Daphnia pulex: one gene and its partners. The main gene of each other region encodes a partner of the protein of the gene in region 3 in a complex. Links are inferred from orthologs where the notes say so. Each region holds a gene or a part of one and is shown on either strand. Other genes may lie near its edges. The genes, in order: nuclear cap-binding protein subunit 1-like, nuclear cap-binding protein subunit 2-like and negative elongation factor E-like.

Evidence for each region.
Region 1: the proteins of negative elongation factor E-like (region 3) and nuclear cap-binding protein subunit 1-like are in contact, whole or in part, in a crystal structure (PDB 5OOB), measured with the Homo sapiens proteins. The link is inferred for Daphnia pulex from reciprocal best matches to the Homo sapiens genes NELFE and NCBP1. Residues at the interface, in NP_002895.3 of Homo sapiens: Arg362, Ile365, Val366, Tyr367, Ser368, Asp370, Val371, Tyr372, Gly379, Phe380; in NP_002477.1 of Homo sapiens: Tyr461, Lys511, Lys557, Ser558, Ser560, His561, Ser564, Lys568, Ile609, Arg610, Gln612, Cys616, Lys647, Met648, His651, Glu705.
Region 2: the proteins of negative elongation factor E-like (region 3) and nuclear cap-binding protein subunit 2-like are in contact, whole or in part, in a crystal structure (PDB 5OOB), measured with the Homo sapiens proteins. The link is inferred for Daphnia pulex from reciprocal best matches to the Homo sapiens genes NELFE and NCBP2. Residues at the interface, in NP_002895.3 of Homo sapiens: Lys361, Arg362, Gln364, Ile365, Val366, Tyr367, Asp369, Tyr372; in NP_031388.2 of Homo sapiens: Phe49, Tyr50, Thr51, Thr52, Glu53, Gln55, Lys68, Ile69, Ile70, Met71, Leu73, Lys77, Lys78, Thr79, Ala80, Asp107, Glu121, Gln124.

What each region holds. Positions count from the first base shown.
Region 1 is NC_060022.1:6,377,980-6,383,003, reverse strand, and holds the start of nuclear cap-binding protein subunit 1-like, read left to right. Parts: upstream 1-1,889; 5' UTR 1,890-2,013; coding exon 2,014-2,044; intron 2,045-2,109; coding exon 2,110-2,387; intron 2,388-2,442; coding exon 2,443-2,636; intron 2,637-2,703; coding exon 2,704-2,875; intron 2,876-2,935; coding exon 2,936-3,157; intron 3,158-3,217; coding exon 3,218-3,318; intron 3,319-3,379; coding exon 3,380-3,551; intron 3,552-3,615; coding exon 3,616-3,783; intron 3,784-3,843; coding exon 3,844-4,096; intron 4,097-4,155; coding exon 4,156-4,289; intron 4,290-4,355; coding exon 4,356-4,680; intron 4,681-4,742; coding exon 4,743-4,894; intron 4,895-4,953; exon of another isoform or gene 4,954-4,956; coding exon 4,957-5,024. Other genes in the region: uncharacterized protein LOC124196162, read left to right, coding at 171-197, 258-495, 586-744, 834-1,021. UniProt on the Homo sapiens protein: Component of the cap-binding complex (CBC), which binds cotranscriptionally to the 5'-cap of pre-mRNAs and is involved in various processes such as pre-mRNA splicing, translation regulation, nonsense-mediated mRNA decay, RNA-mediated gene silencing (RNAi) by microRNAs (miRNAs) and mRNA export.
Region 2 is NC_060026.1:16,275,905-16,279,722, reverse strand, and holds nuclear cap-binding protein subunit 2-like, read right to left. Parts: upstream 1,818-3,818; 5' UTR 1,622-1,817; coding exon 1,583-1,621; intron 1,438-1,582; coding exon 1,351-1,437; intron 1,291-1,350; coding exon 1,196-1,290; intron 1,132-1,195; coding exon 993-1,131; intron 935-992; coding exon 836-934; 3' UTR 739-835; downstream 1-738. Other genes in the region: hsp70-binding protein 1-like, read left to right, coding at 2,174-2,459, 2,524-2,745, 2,806-2,961, 3,021-3,229, 3,296-3,364. UniProt on the Homo sapiens protein: Component of the cap-binding complex (CBC), which binds co-transcriptionally to the 5' cap of pre-mRNAs and is involved in various processes such as pre-mRNA splicing, translation regulation, nonsense-mediated mRNA decay, RNA-mediated gene silencing (RNAi) by microRNAs (miRNAs) and mRNA export.
Region 3 is NC_060021.1:9,952,932-9,957,076, forward strand, and holds negative elongation factor E-like, read right to left. Parts: upstream 2,456-4,145; 5' UTR 2,365-2,455; coding exon 2,284-2,364; intron 2,221-2,283; coding exon 1,912-2,220; intron 1,853-1,911; coding exon 1,703-1,852; intron 1,635-1,702; coding exon 1,543-1,634; intron 1,485-1,542; coding exon 1,430-1,484; intron 1,119-1,429; coding exon 1,007-1,118; intron 938-1,006; coding exon 864-937; 3' UTR 811-863; downstream 1-810. UniProt on the Homo sapiens protein: Essential component of the NELF complex, a complex that negatively regulates the elongation of transcription by RNA polymerase II.

The DNA of each region.
Region 1 (5,024 bases), on a different chromosome or scaffold from region 3:
CTGCTGTCCAACGAAAAAGAGAATGCGGTGTTTATCAGCAACTTAACGTAAGTTTTACTTGAATAACCCATTTTTACTTGCACTATTTATAACGTGAAGTGTTCTTCTTTCAACAGGACAATCATTCGAAGAAAAGGCGAATTCATTCAGCCAAACGCTCAACAAGATCCATGAGGATTAGTGGAATAAAGGACAGGGTATTCTGTTTTATATTGTTTAAGCTTCAATTGGAATCGTAACATTTTTTTCTTTAACAGGGCAGGTGGCTGACTGAAGACAGTAATGCCCAAGTCATTATGTTTATAAAAATACCAAACTCAAGTGAACCAACCTTTCACACCTTTGTGTCAGGGGCCGAAGCAGCTGCCCTCCTTGCCACAGAGCAAGGGCAATCATTTAGAAGAAAATTCAAGGGGGATTTTGAAGAAACTGAAAAAGGGTTCTGTGACAGCCAGGGAAATGGTGAAAGATTAAGCACAAACAATTCTTTACCAGGTATGGCTCATGTGGTTGTTAGCAGACTTCCATTCATCGTTAATTTTATTATTCACTCTTCATTGTTCATCATTTCTTTTTGTATTCAAGTTGTAGTCATTGCAGCGGAATCTTTATCCACCAGTTCAGTGAATAACAGTAGTGTCCCATCAACAACAAATCCTGCTGTGGAGAAAAGTGTGAATGCGGGCCGTAAACGGGCCGAGAGCACACGTACAAGAGACTCAAGTACGAACAATTCTTTACCAGGTATGGCTCATGTGGTTGTTAGCATACTTCCATTCACCATTAATTTTATTATTCACTCTTCGTTTTAATCATTTCTTTTTGTATTGTAGTCAATGCAGCGGAATCTGTAGGCCTATCCACTAGTTCAACGGATGACAGTTATTGTGTGTCAAGCAATCCTGCAGGCTTAATCAATGCCGCTCATCAAGCTGATGTTCGTTCCATTCCATCCACAGTTTGCACTACGAGCCAAGTTGTGAATTGTAGCCAAGGTATACGGACGATTCGGCAAATTTGACGTTTGCCGAATTGGTTTTTGCCGAATTGGTTGACTTTGTTATTTTCCCGAATCGTACATACCAATTCGGTAAAAAGCCAATTCGGCAAAATTGTTTAAAATGCCGTTGTAAGGCCAGTGGCGCTAGCTGTGTGGGTTTCGGGTAATCAGCGCCACCACCAACACGCGAATTATACTGTCTTTCCCGAGAGATCTTTGAGCCCTTCCCGACATAAACACAAAACAAAGTGGAACCTGCTTTAACTGCCCATTCTTTTTTAGAAAACCATGGAGGGAAAATAGTTGAGTGAAAGGGAAGTTTATTATTTTAAAGGTTCCGTCGGCATACCATCGAACGGCAGTTTTCAAAAGCGCTAGTTGTTCGTCAGTCATGAAAATTAAATGACGTTTAGAACCAACTACAACTTCTCCTTTAAAAAACGAAGTGGGCATTAAGTCCATTTTGATTTGAAAAAAAAGATCAATTGGGTTTTTAGCAGTGCGCTTTGCTTTTACCCGATTTACAGCCCTAGCTAACGTTGTGGGGTTAATTGGGTTCCACAGTATTTGCCGCCAATTTACATTTGCACAGTTGCCGAATCGACTTTTGCCGAATCGGTAATTTCATAGGTGACAATTCGGCAACTTTGCCGAAACGGTTTTCGGCGATTTGCCGAAATGGTTTTTGCCGAATCGTCCGACATTCGTAGCCAATTTCACCTAAATTGAATTCAACAAATCCCATTTTTGCGTGAATTTAATTCAATTCAGCTGAATATAAACTGAATTGAATTTTTGCGCCAAATTGCGTTGCCTAAAATAAACAATTTTTACAGCTACGTTGTCAAGTTATGTAAACTATTTTCACGATCATCGAAGTTTATGATTTCATCAATAGATGGCGTCAAATTAACAGCTTCTTTAATAGCTCCATATGACAAACAGTCAAACAGGGTGGTAGTAGTTTGTCTGTCTTGTAAGCGTCGTAGACCAATTTAAAATAAAATCAAAGAATGAGTCGTAGGAAACGTGATGATGGATATGGTAAGGATTACAACTTATTGAAGAATTTGATGACATTATAAAAAGTTATTTGTTTAAAATTACAGAACATGGGTATCGTAAAAGGCGCAGAGTTGTCTCGGAGCAGGCAGAAATTGAAGACCGGTTAGAATCTCTTATTATCAGGGTTGGAGACAAAACGTCATCATCTTTAGAAAGCAATTTAGAAGGGCTTGCTTCAGTATTAGAAGCTGATTTGAACACGTACAAGAGTAAAATATTACGTATTTTGTCGGAATGCCCAATCCAAATGCCAGAGAAATGTACTATCTACAGCACATTAGTTGGTCTTCTGAATGCTAAAAACTATAATTTTGGAGGAGAGGTTTGTTTTAAAATTGTACTTTCAGTTTTTAAGATACAAGTATATCTTTTTTTAGTTTGTGGAACAAATAGTGAGAAACCTAAAAGAAGCTCTCCGTGAGGGGCAATGGGAATCTGCTCGTTTAATTGTACGTTTCATATCTGACATGGTCAACTGTCACATAGTCTCTGCCTCTTCCTTGCTACAGTTATATGACAGTTTTATTGACGCTGCCATGGAACAAGGAGTTCCTCAGGTTCGACGAGACTGGTAATTAAATTTTTGTTTTATTCTAAAGCAAGAGTAATGTAGATCACAACACTGTATCAATTTACAGGTACATGTATGCGTTGTTGACGGCGCTTCCTTGGGTTGGTCGAGAGCTTTTTGAAAAGAAAGAAAATGATCTTGAACGTATAATGGCAGCAATGGAAGGTTATCTTCGCAGAAGAAATACTGCTCATGTCGCTGCTCTTCGAGTTTGGAATTGTGAAACTCCGCACCCACAGGTCAGAAATGGCATGGCATTTTAATAATAATTGAAAAATTTCGAAAAACGTTCTTTCTAGGAAGAATACCTGGAATGTCTTTGGGCTCAAGTACGGAAATTGCGGACAGACGAGTGGCAGGAAAGACACATTTACCGTCCATATTTAGCTTTTGATTCTATCCTCTCTGAAGCTTTGCAACACAATCTCCCGGTCATTCTACCTCCGCCTCACACAGCTAGTACGCAATATCCGCTACCATGGGTTGTTTTCAGGATGTTTGATTACACTGACTGTCCAGAAGTAAGTTAAACGCTTTCAAAAGTGTGTATCGTGCGTATTTAACTCGGGACTCATTTTCAGGCTGGTCCACTTTTACCAGGAACTCATTCAGTAGAGCGTTACTTGATTGAGGAACATTTACACCAGATCATCACTCGTCATCATAACGAACGCAAGGAACTGTGAGTTTCAACTTGACAGAAACGTTTGTGCAGATAATAGTAAATTAATTTTGCTTTTCAGAGCCACCCAATTGTTGGCGTTCCCACAGAGAAATAAGATCCCTTTGGAATACATGATAGTTGAAGTTCTCTTCTCAGAACTTTTCCAAATGCCTTCCCCTCGTTACTTGGAGATTGCTTATGGTTGTACTTTGATAGAACTTTGCAAGCTTCAACCAAGTACAATGCCTCAGGTGAAAATATGATCTTACAGTAGAAACTTGAACATTTTCATTTGACTTTTTATTTCACAACCAGGTGTTAGCACAGGCTACGGAGTTGCTTTACGAAAGAATTGATACCATGAATGCCACCTGCTTTGATAGATTCGTTTCTTGGTTTTCTTACCATCTCAGTAACTTTCAATTCCGCTGGAGTTGGGATGACTGGCAGAATTGTCTTTCACTCGAAAAAGACCACCCCAAGGTAAATGTTTAAAAAAATGAAATTTTTCGAAATCTATCTAAAGGAACACTTAAATTTCAGGCAAAATTTGTTTCTGAAGTGTTCGGGAAATGTTTGAGACTCTCCTATCACAAGCGCGTGACTGAAATGGTGCCTGAATGTTACTCACCGCTGTTGCCCCCGAAACCAGAACCGTACTTTAAATACCAAATTGAAGGAGGAAATGGTTTTCCTGGGGCTGCTCAAGTCCAGACTTTGACTGAGCTCCTAAGAAAAAAGCCAACGCCTGAAGAAGTACTAGAGTTGGTCCAGCAACTACCGAATCCTCTCAAAGGTAAATATGGTGGATACAATATGTATAACTTCAAGCCATTTTGATGCAATTGTAATTAGATGACGACGGGGATATGGAGCCTTCACACAATCCTCTAGCAATTGAAGTATTTGTTCAGACTCTGCTACATTTGGGATCGAAGAGTTTTACGCATACTTTTGCAGGTCTCGCTAAATATCATTCAGTCTTCAAGGTATTTTCAACAGATTGAAATGTTATCGATAGTATAAAACGATTCAATTTTACGTTTCTGTCATAGAATATTTGTGAGAATGAAGAGGCACAGATCTGTATGCTTCGTCAAGTTTATGAGCTCTGGCAACACCACCCACAATTTTTAGGAGTGGTAGTTGATAAGATGTTAAAGACACAAATTGTTGAGTGTTGTGCCGTAGCAAATTGGATCTTTTCACGAGACATGGCACCCGAGTTCACTCGTTCGTACATTTGGGAGGTCTTGCACTTGACTATTCGCAAAATGAACAAACACGTCGTCCGTCTAGAGAAAGAGGTGGCGGATGCACGCGCTAAACTCAGAGCTGCACCATCTGATTCGGAATCATCTGATGAAGATCCATCTAGAGGTGCGAACAACTTTGGATTAATGTTAATCATTCGCTTAATTTTTTTTCCGTTTTAACTAAAGAGGGTGGCGAAAAGCGTCGACGCACCTCTAGCAATAAAGAAGCTACAAAGGACGATGGGGAACAACCTACGGAAGAGATGGTCGAGCGTATGGAAGAACGCTTGGAGGCTGCCCAATCAGATCAAAAGAACCTGTTTTTGATCGTGTTTCAAGTATACTATTACATATTGAATTTCACTTTGAATGTTTATATAAATTTTGACTTTCATTACAGCGTTTCATCATGATTTTGTCGGAGCACGTCGTTCGTTGCGATACAGATGGCAAGGATTTCAACACATT
Region 2 (3,818 bases), on a different chromosome or scaffold from region 3:
GGTGCTGGGCAATGTTCATGTCGCTCCACGTGAGTTTTACGTCAATATTTGAATAAGCAACATCTGTAGTGCTGGGCGGTGGGTACAGCAGCCAGCCAACATGCACCAGTCCCGCTATAGCCTCACGGCGGAGCACGCGGATCGGCACGCGGACATGAATGCTTCCAGCGGCTGCAGCAGTGGGAGAGAACTCGATTGCCGTCGCCCAGAAATATTCAAACAGCCAACACCAGATACACACACACTCACTCAGTACAATTTTCCTGGTAGTTCAGATGCACGTTGAATGTCACGTCAAGCACATTCTTTCTTCGAACGATAAATAAGTTAGTTTTAATTTGGAATAACTAAACAACTACCGAGCAATCAGAAATCGATACCATTTCCATTTTGGAAATCATCTAATTGATCAATGATCATTGAATTAGCTTCACATTTGACACAAATTCAATTGTGACATTCGTTATAAGTTGCAGACGACCACTGGGAATTGAATATTCAAATATTTCTTTGCATGTAGATGATGGCGTGCATCACGCGGCCGCAAAAGCTCTTCTGGGAAACTACCCGCTTCGCTTTGAAAAGGAAAAAGCTTTGGGAGTGACAGATCACATGGCAAGAGATTCTAGTGTCCCCACTTTTCGATCGATAAAATCCAGGCCAACCGGACTGGCAGATGGAAACATGACGAGAAACGTCTTCTTTCACAGGTAAAAAAGATTTTGTTTAGGAAATCAATTCAGCATGGTCTGTTTTAATTGAGGATAACACTTGTTGACATTTGTTAAAAAAAAAAACACACAGAGATGAATGAATACAGTATTTAGAAATGTTATCAATTGTTAGCAGCAGCAGATGTGGCCACCTTCTGCTGAATCATTTTGCCCCATCCTCCTCTGCCACCATCAAAGTCAGTTCGGTATTCATCTCTCACCTGCAAAACAGAAATCCATTAGTTGAGAACAATAAGTTTGAGCTGACGAAATGCTGACCTGTCCTCCAGTTTTGCCTCTGCCATATTGCCTTCCTTCAATGAAGCCAGCATCCCAGTCAGTTCTCACAATTCTGTCATCCAGTCTTGTCCCATTCACAAACCTGATGGCATTTTCTGAATCATTCCTCAGGTAAAACCTTGAAAGATAATTAGAAATAATTAAACACAATTTTGTTATTGGATTTGGTTGCAATGACTTACTCTACAAAACAAAATCCACAAGGGGTCCTAGTAAACTTGTCCAATCCCATGATGATTCTCTTGACATCGCCACATTTCCCAAACAATTCATGGATCTAAAATATTTGAAAAGATGAAATCAAATGGAACCAATTGTTGACTTGGAAGTATTTAACCTGTTCTTCAGTTGTGTAAAAGGACAAGTTTCCAACATACAGGGTGCAAGATTGACTCAACAGACGCTCCTGCTCTACCCGGGAACCCTGAAAGATGGAAATCAGTTATTTTGGCTTGAAATATCAAAATATTTTTAATTATTAAGGTATGCATTTCCATTTAAACATTAATTGCCTCAAAACTGTATATTAAGTTACATTTTCAATTCTGCTATCAACTCATGAGGCTTACTTTGAAATGTTGGTCTCGGTATGTGCTTGGAACCGCCATTTCTACGAATTATTTCGGGAGAACCAATCACACCGTTCACCCCAGTGTCTTCCGAATTAAGTGTCCTTGTATTCAGCCAATCAACCGGCTAAACTTTATGCGTTTTAAATTACTAAAATTGGTGTGGTTTTTTTCTAAAAAAAAGTGTGCGTTGACACAACAAACCTGACGCGAGTGACTTTCGAAAAGATGCTTATGGCGGCCGCTAGGTTACGTCACTTGCTAGAAACCCATTCCGGCGTTAAACTACAATTAAAAACCAAATAAAAATATGACACACTTTCGCAGATTTTTTCAATAATTTTTTAAAATCTCAATGAATTTTATCCAAATCTTAATTAACTTAACAGGTTTGTTTTGTAAATGTCAAAATTTTTTAAGTTATGCGAGTCATGCCTAGATGGCTCTTTTTATTCCAGACTCTTCTTGATTTTGCTAGTAAACAGTTTCATTGACGTCTGCTTGCCCCATGCGTTCACGGTTTAACTTGCGTACTGCGTCTTATTCTTCATAAATATATAACAAGTTGTTGTTGAGATCCTTAGCAAAACAATGGAACCCCCACGACAACCAAGAGATATGCAAGGACTTTTAAGATTTGCCATCGAAGGCACCGCAGCTGAAGATCGTACCACAACCACATCGATGAGTGAAGAAAGGAGACGCTGGTTAGAAGAAGCTCTAAGAGGATTGTCAGTCGACGTTGTAGCCGAAATATCAAAATCGTTAAATATCCTCAATCCAGATCGAGTCGAAAGTCCTGAAGAAGATCCCCAGGAGATGGAGGAAGCATTGGAAATGATTACTGACTTTGCCGATTCCATGGACACGGCTAATGGTATGAGATATCTTTTTTTATTGATTGAATAAAACATTGACACTTGTTTCGCTTGTTTCTCCAGACTTTCACAAGATAGGAGGATTTTTCATCCTCATCCCCTGTTTGAATTCTCCCCACGATGGAGTTCGTTGGAGGTGCTGTCAGTTGATTGGCACCCTCACCCAGAACAACCCATACTGCCAACAGCATGTGCTCAACGAAGACCTATTGCCAATTTTGCTTAAAATGCTGGAAAACGATGACTGTGAAGAGGCGAGAATCAAAGCCCTGTACGCCATTTCATGTAATGAGCAGATTTACAACTCACACTAAGGGAATTCAGTTAACAATTGATTGATTATAGGTTTGACAAGAGAATGTGCAGAAGCCCAGGATGCATTTGTGCATTGTGATGGTTTCTCGTCTTTACTGAGAGCACTGCAATCATCACTCGGGAAACTGAAAATCAAGGCTTCATTCTTGTTGACTTGTTTATGCAATGAGAATCCATCCTTCAAAGGTTTTATTCACATTCATAAGTTTCTCCATTTGTACTCTAACCAATACCCTGTTTACTAGATACTTTATGTAATATGGGATTTGTGGAGCAGTTTGTGGCTCTGCTTCAACGAGATCACGACTCGACTCACGAACATCTACTGGCCGCCTTGCTGGCACTTACCCAGAGCCACCCCCCATCGATCGAGGAGTGCCGTAGATCAGAGTTTCTCTTTCGTGAATTTCTCGACAACCGCATCGAATTAATCGGAGATCGCGACGAATGTCTGGTAATAATTATTAGTCAATACTTGAAAATGAAATCGAATTTTAAACTTTGAATTTTCATTTGATAGGAGGAAGCCGAGTATTGCCGTACTTTGTTGTCGGTGATTTTCAAGGAAGACATTGTCGAAGACAGGTGAAGTTATTGGCATTCGATTGCTGGCAATAGAAAGAGAATTTAAAAAGCAAACAAAGAGGCTCATGATATGGAGGCGCAATACACACACCGACGTCCTTTTGATAATCTTTACGTTTTTGTTTGTTTACTCTCTCGTGAACCATCGAAGCGTGAACGGTGTTCTCTAATTTTGTTATCGTAATCTACCAATCCTATTGATCCTCAAGATTGTTGTGGTCATTACAATCCTAAAGAATACATATGTATTAACAAGAAGGTCTCTGCTGAAAAAGTTTGTAGGTAACAGGCAAAATTTAATTGTTTTAAATGCATCAGTTAAAAATAAGAAAAGAAATTAAAGCGATTGTGAAATGTCCTCCTCCAACATCAATCCAGTAAAATGAGTAAAGTGGCGATAATCGTCGAATAAAATCACTCCCTTTGTCGGAAGCATTCGCCTTTTACGACGGGCTGCA
Region 3 (4,145 bases):
CTGAAACCGTGCTAGTCGCAAGCAACCAGTTTGAGTGAGCCGTGTGTGTTACCTAATTTTGTTTTCTTATCATCATCATTGTTTTTTTGTTTTTTTAACATTTTTTCCAGTGATATGACAGGACATTCCCCGTCTTTACATTTCCCACCTTTCTGTTAAGTTTTTAACGATCGTCTATTTTAGTTGCTGAAAGGCAGGGCCTGCAATTTGCGACTTTATTTTGTTTTTTCCGTTGATTTTTTTTCTGTTGCACGATATTCATGAACGTCTCTAATCAGAACGCATATTGAGACATGATTGCAGACATTTACGCAAAGCATTTATCTGTTATAAGCTAATAGGTCTGCGTCTGTCGATTTTGAGATATATTTTTCCCCTTCCATACGTATCGCTTGACAAATGGAGCTAGATTCTTGTCCCCTCTTTCCATAATATTCTTTCAAAATCAATACTTTATGCACTTTGAACGTCGGGAAAATCGTTCACCTTCGCACACCGCATTCCGCTGTCTATGTGATTACTCAACAACAAACAGAATTCCGTTTGCAATGCCCCGAAGAGTCTAATGTTATTATTACGTCGTTATGATCGTTTCAAGGTAAAATTACTTTTCTGGAATGGGGGCGAAGGGGATGGAAAGAGGCAATTTATCGTATATAAATGTTGGGGGGAATTAAAAAAAAGAGATTTGATCCGGGAAGCTAAATATTCTCTCGTTTGGTGCCCGTCTAAAAATAAAACTTGTTTTTGTTTTTTTCCATGTATTTCTGATGGGAAATTTATGTAAAATGAAATATCACTGTACATCCACCACGAGAAAATTACAATTACATAGAACCGCCTGTACTGTGATGATTTACTTTTTAAAACAATTCCTCTTCATATGTCACTAAATCGCGCTTATCTTTATAGGATCCTTTCTGAGAATTGCGAGCCGCTGAAATGGAGAAAACAAAAATAAATGACATTTCATCAAAACTAGAAAGCTCAATAAAATAAGGCTAACCTATTGTGGACCACGTAGCGGATGATGTTGCATCGTTTATAGGTTCGATGACAGGTTGACGCCTTGCGAGTGACACTTTTAGTTGAATACCGGATACCATGCTACCATTCATCTAGTATTCAGTCACAAAAGAAAAACAATGGCAGTGTATATCATTATTACATTCGTCATAGGGGAAATTTTAGTGACGATAGAATCTGGTGCGCTTAACAACCTGGAACGCCTTTTTTAAATTTCGAAATAAATTTACTACGAGCCAAAAGTTCCCACTAGGTATATTGGGCAAGAAACTTGGTATAAAAATTCCCATTACGATTTGGTCAACTACTAAAGCATTTAAAACCCACAGGATTTTGTTTGTCTATTTTAGTAAAATAGGCAAAAGTGAGGAGTAGATTTTTTAAGGGAATTCTCTATACATACTTCACTGATGGCTCTGTCTGCTGAAGTTGTTTTGTCGAACGTAACGAACCCGCAACTGAGAACAAAAAGGTATTTAATATTTTGCTACTGTTTGCTTTAATAGAAGATATTACTTTTTCTCAATTTCCATTGAAATGTTTACAACATTTCCAAAAGACTGGAAAGCTTTTTTGAGGATTTCTTCTGTAATGCTGTAGCCAAACACCTAAAAATGGCAAACAATGTGATTAATCAACACATTTCATCAAAAATCTACAGCCAAGAAATGATTACATAAACTGTGTGCCCCACTGTAGGTTTCTGGTGCTTCACTGGAGAAATGGCAGGAGAGGTAGGTGTTTCTTTGGGGTTTGTTGGACTAATTGAAGCTGGTTCAGCATCTGATTCTCTTGAAGAAATGAAATTTTCATAGAGATTGGGAACCTAAGCAGAAAGGAGAATGCTTGAACACAGTTATTTGGATTGGATAGTGTTGTTGTTACCTTGCTTTTGGTTCTAGCTTCATGTGTGACATGTTCTTCATTAGAAACCATACTTCCTTGACTTGAAGAAAACGGTTGGAATCCACTTGGTGCTCGATCAGAAGAGGAAAGTTTTCTTTCTAAGCCTCTTGATCTTTTGAATCCAGTAGTTTCTGTTTTCTCGCTAGGTTTTGGAATGGCTGAAATGGCTCCGGACTTCAAGAGCTTTTTAGCCACTTCTCTGGCGTCTCTTGCTTCTGCAGGTCTTTTGAGTGCAGGTGTTTTTTCTGGTTCTGGTTTGGGTGCTTTCAGTGCTTGCAAAGCTTTTTTCTATTTCCAGTATACTTCATTAGTAAAATAGTAAAAGGTATATACTATTTGCATGCAACCCACCTTCTTTTTAAGTTTTTGATATTTAGTTTGCAGCATTAATTCCTCTTCTGTCAAATTGGAGGGGAAATGAAGATAAACCATTTTATTAAGCGTTGACTTTGATTTTGTTCGTTCGTTTTGCAAATTTAACGTTAAATTTCGTTGTTGTTTACGCCGCCCAAGGACGAGTTGTAGATTTCGACGTTAGATGTCGCCTGTGGAATTCTTACGTAAATAACAATAGCAAGGGACCTGGTAACAGAACATTTTTTTTTCCCTCAAAAGGACCAATCCAATCACAAGTGTTTAGGTCACGTGTCTGAGCCTCGTAAACGGAAATTCCAGCCATTCACGATCCTTGGCCGCCGTAGCCGTCAGACGTGAGTATACCAAGGGGGAGAGAATAGACAGATTCGAGTACGAGAAACTGGTGTAACGAGACTGTGTGTGTGTGTGTGTGTAGCTTGAATGAAAAATCGATCCATCTGCAGTTGCTGCTGTTCTCATCATTCGTCGATACGAGCCTAGGTATAATTTACAGTGGTGATGTGTCAAGGTTACAAACATTTTTTCACACCTTTGTCTCCTACTTGATTCTTTTTATGGATTGTGCAGGTGTGTAGTAGAGCCCGTCCGTTTGCCGGCCTCATGATAGTACAACACGATACACTACAGGCTAGGTGAGTAAAACTGTCAATAGTTGCGCAATCTGTCTTTTATTTTCCAAAGTGCCGGCTAGCTAGAGAGTTTTTTCAACCCTCGAGTTATTCGAGAAACTTTCAAGGTTCTCTCCTTTCGAGTTAGGGAGAGACGACGATTCTTTTGTTCCATTTCGACTCGCATTTTCCCCCCTGGAAGTAGACACAGACACACAAAAAAGGGCAAAATAGTAGTAAAAATATAGTAGAGACACTTGCCCAGGAGAACCATCGAGTGGGCGGTGTAGTAGTAGTAGTATTATAGTAAGGTTCTTTCTCCCTCTTCTGGTTTGGGTTGGACACAACAATGGGGACCCCCAGCCTCTTTTGAAAAGAAGTAAAAAGGGGAAAATGCTTTTTCCCCACCAACCCCTGTACAGGTTCTTTTTTCCCCTATTATTTTCGGTCATGGTGGGAAAACAATTCAACTGAGAAAGACGACCAAAAAATGATGTGCCACAGTGCCAGTGTGTGTGTGTGATGAGGTCATAGTTGTTGATCAGAAGAACACAATTTCTGCCCTGTCATATTAATAAGAAATGGGCTGCTGCTGGCGTCTGAAAAATCAGTCGACTGGCGTGTAGTTCGGTCATTCTGTGAAAAAAAAAAAGTTTTTATTTTGGAAGATGTCGAGTGTAGTAGAATTGTAGGCGCGCGCCGACTCTGAATTTCTAGGACCCTCCCCATCCGCCATTCCGCCTGCAGCAGAGATAGGGCCCTGGTGAACCGGTATACACTCAGTCTTCATCTGGCCGTGTCGTCGTGCAGTGCAAGTGTTTGTGGCTCCCTCTTTCGCCGATAGTTTTGCCATCGACCGTTTTACTTGGCCACATAATAATAATATCCACATGCTACCATGGAATGGAGGGTAAGGCTTACACAACTGCTGCCATTTTCTTGGTTTAACACGACGAAAAAGCCCAACGAAAATTCTCCATTTTTTTCTCGTTGGCCGAGAGAGAATTGGGTGTGCTTTGTTGGCGTTTTGTGTGCGGTGGTGGCGCCATGGACGGCCTTGACTCGATTGAGCTGCTCTTTCTTCGACTTGTCTAAACTTGGTGTGTTTGTGTGTGTGTGTGTGTGTGTGTTCAAACACGACAATCTCTTTACCATTTCGCCGTGGTGGCCATCTTATATTTTATACATATGACGATCCAATCAGATTTGAATTTGTTTTTCTTGAAA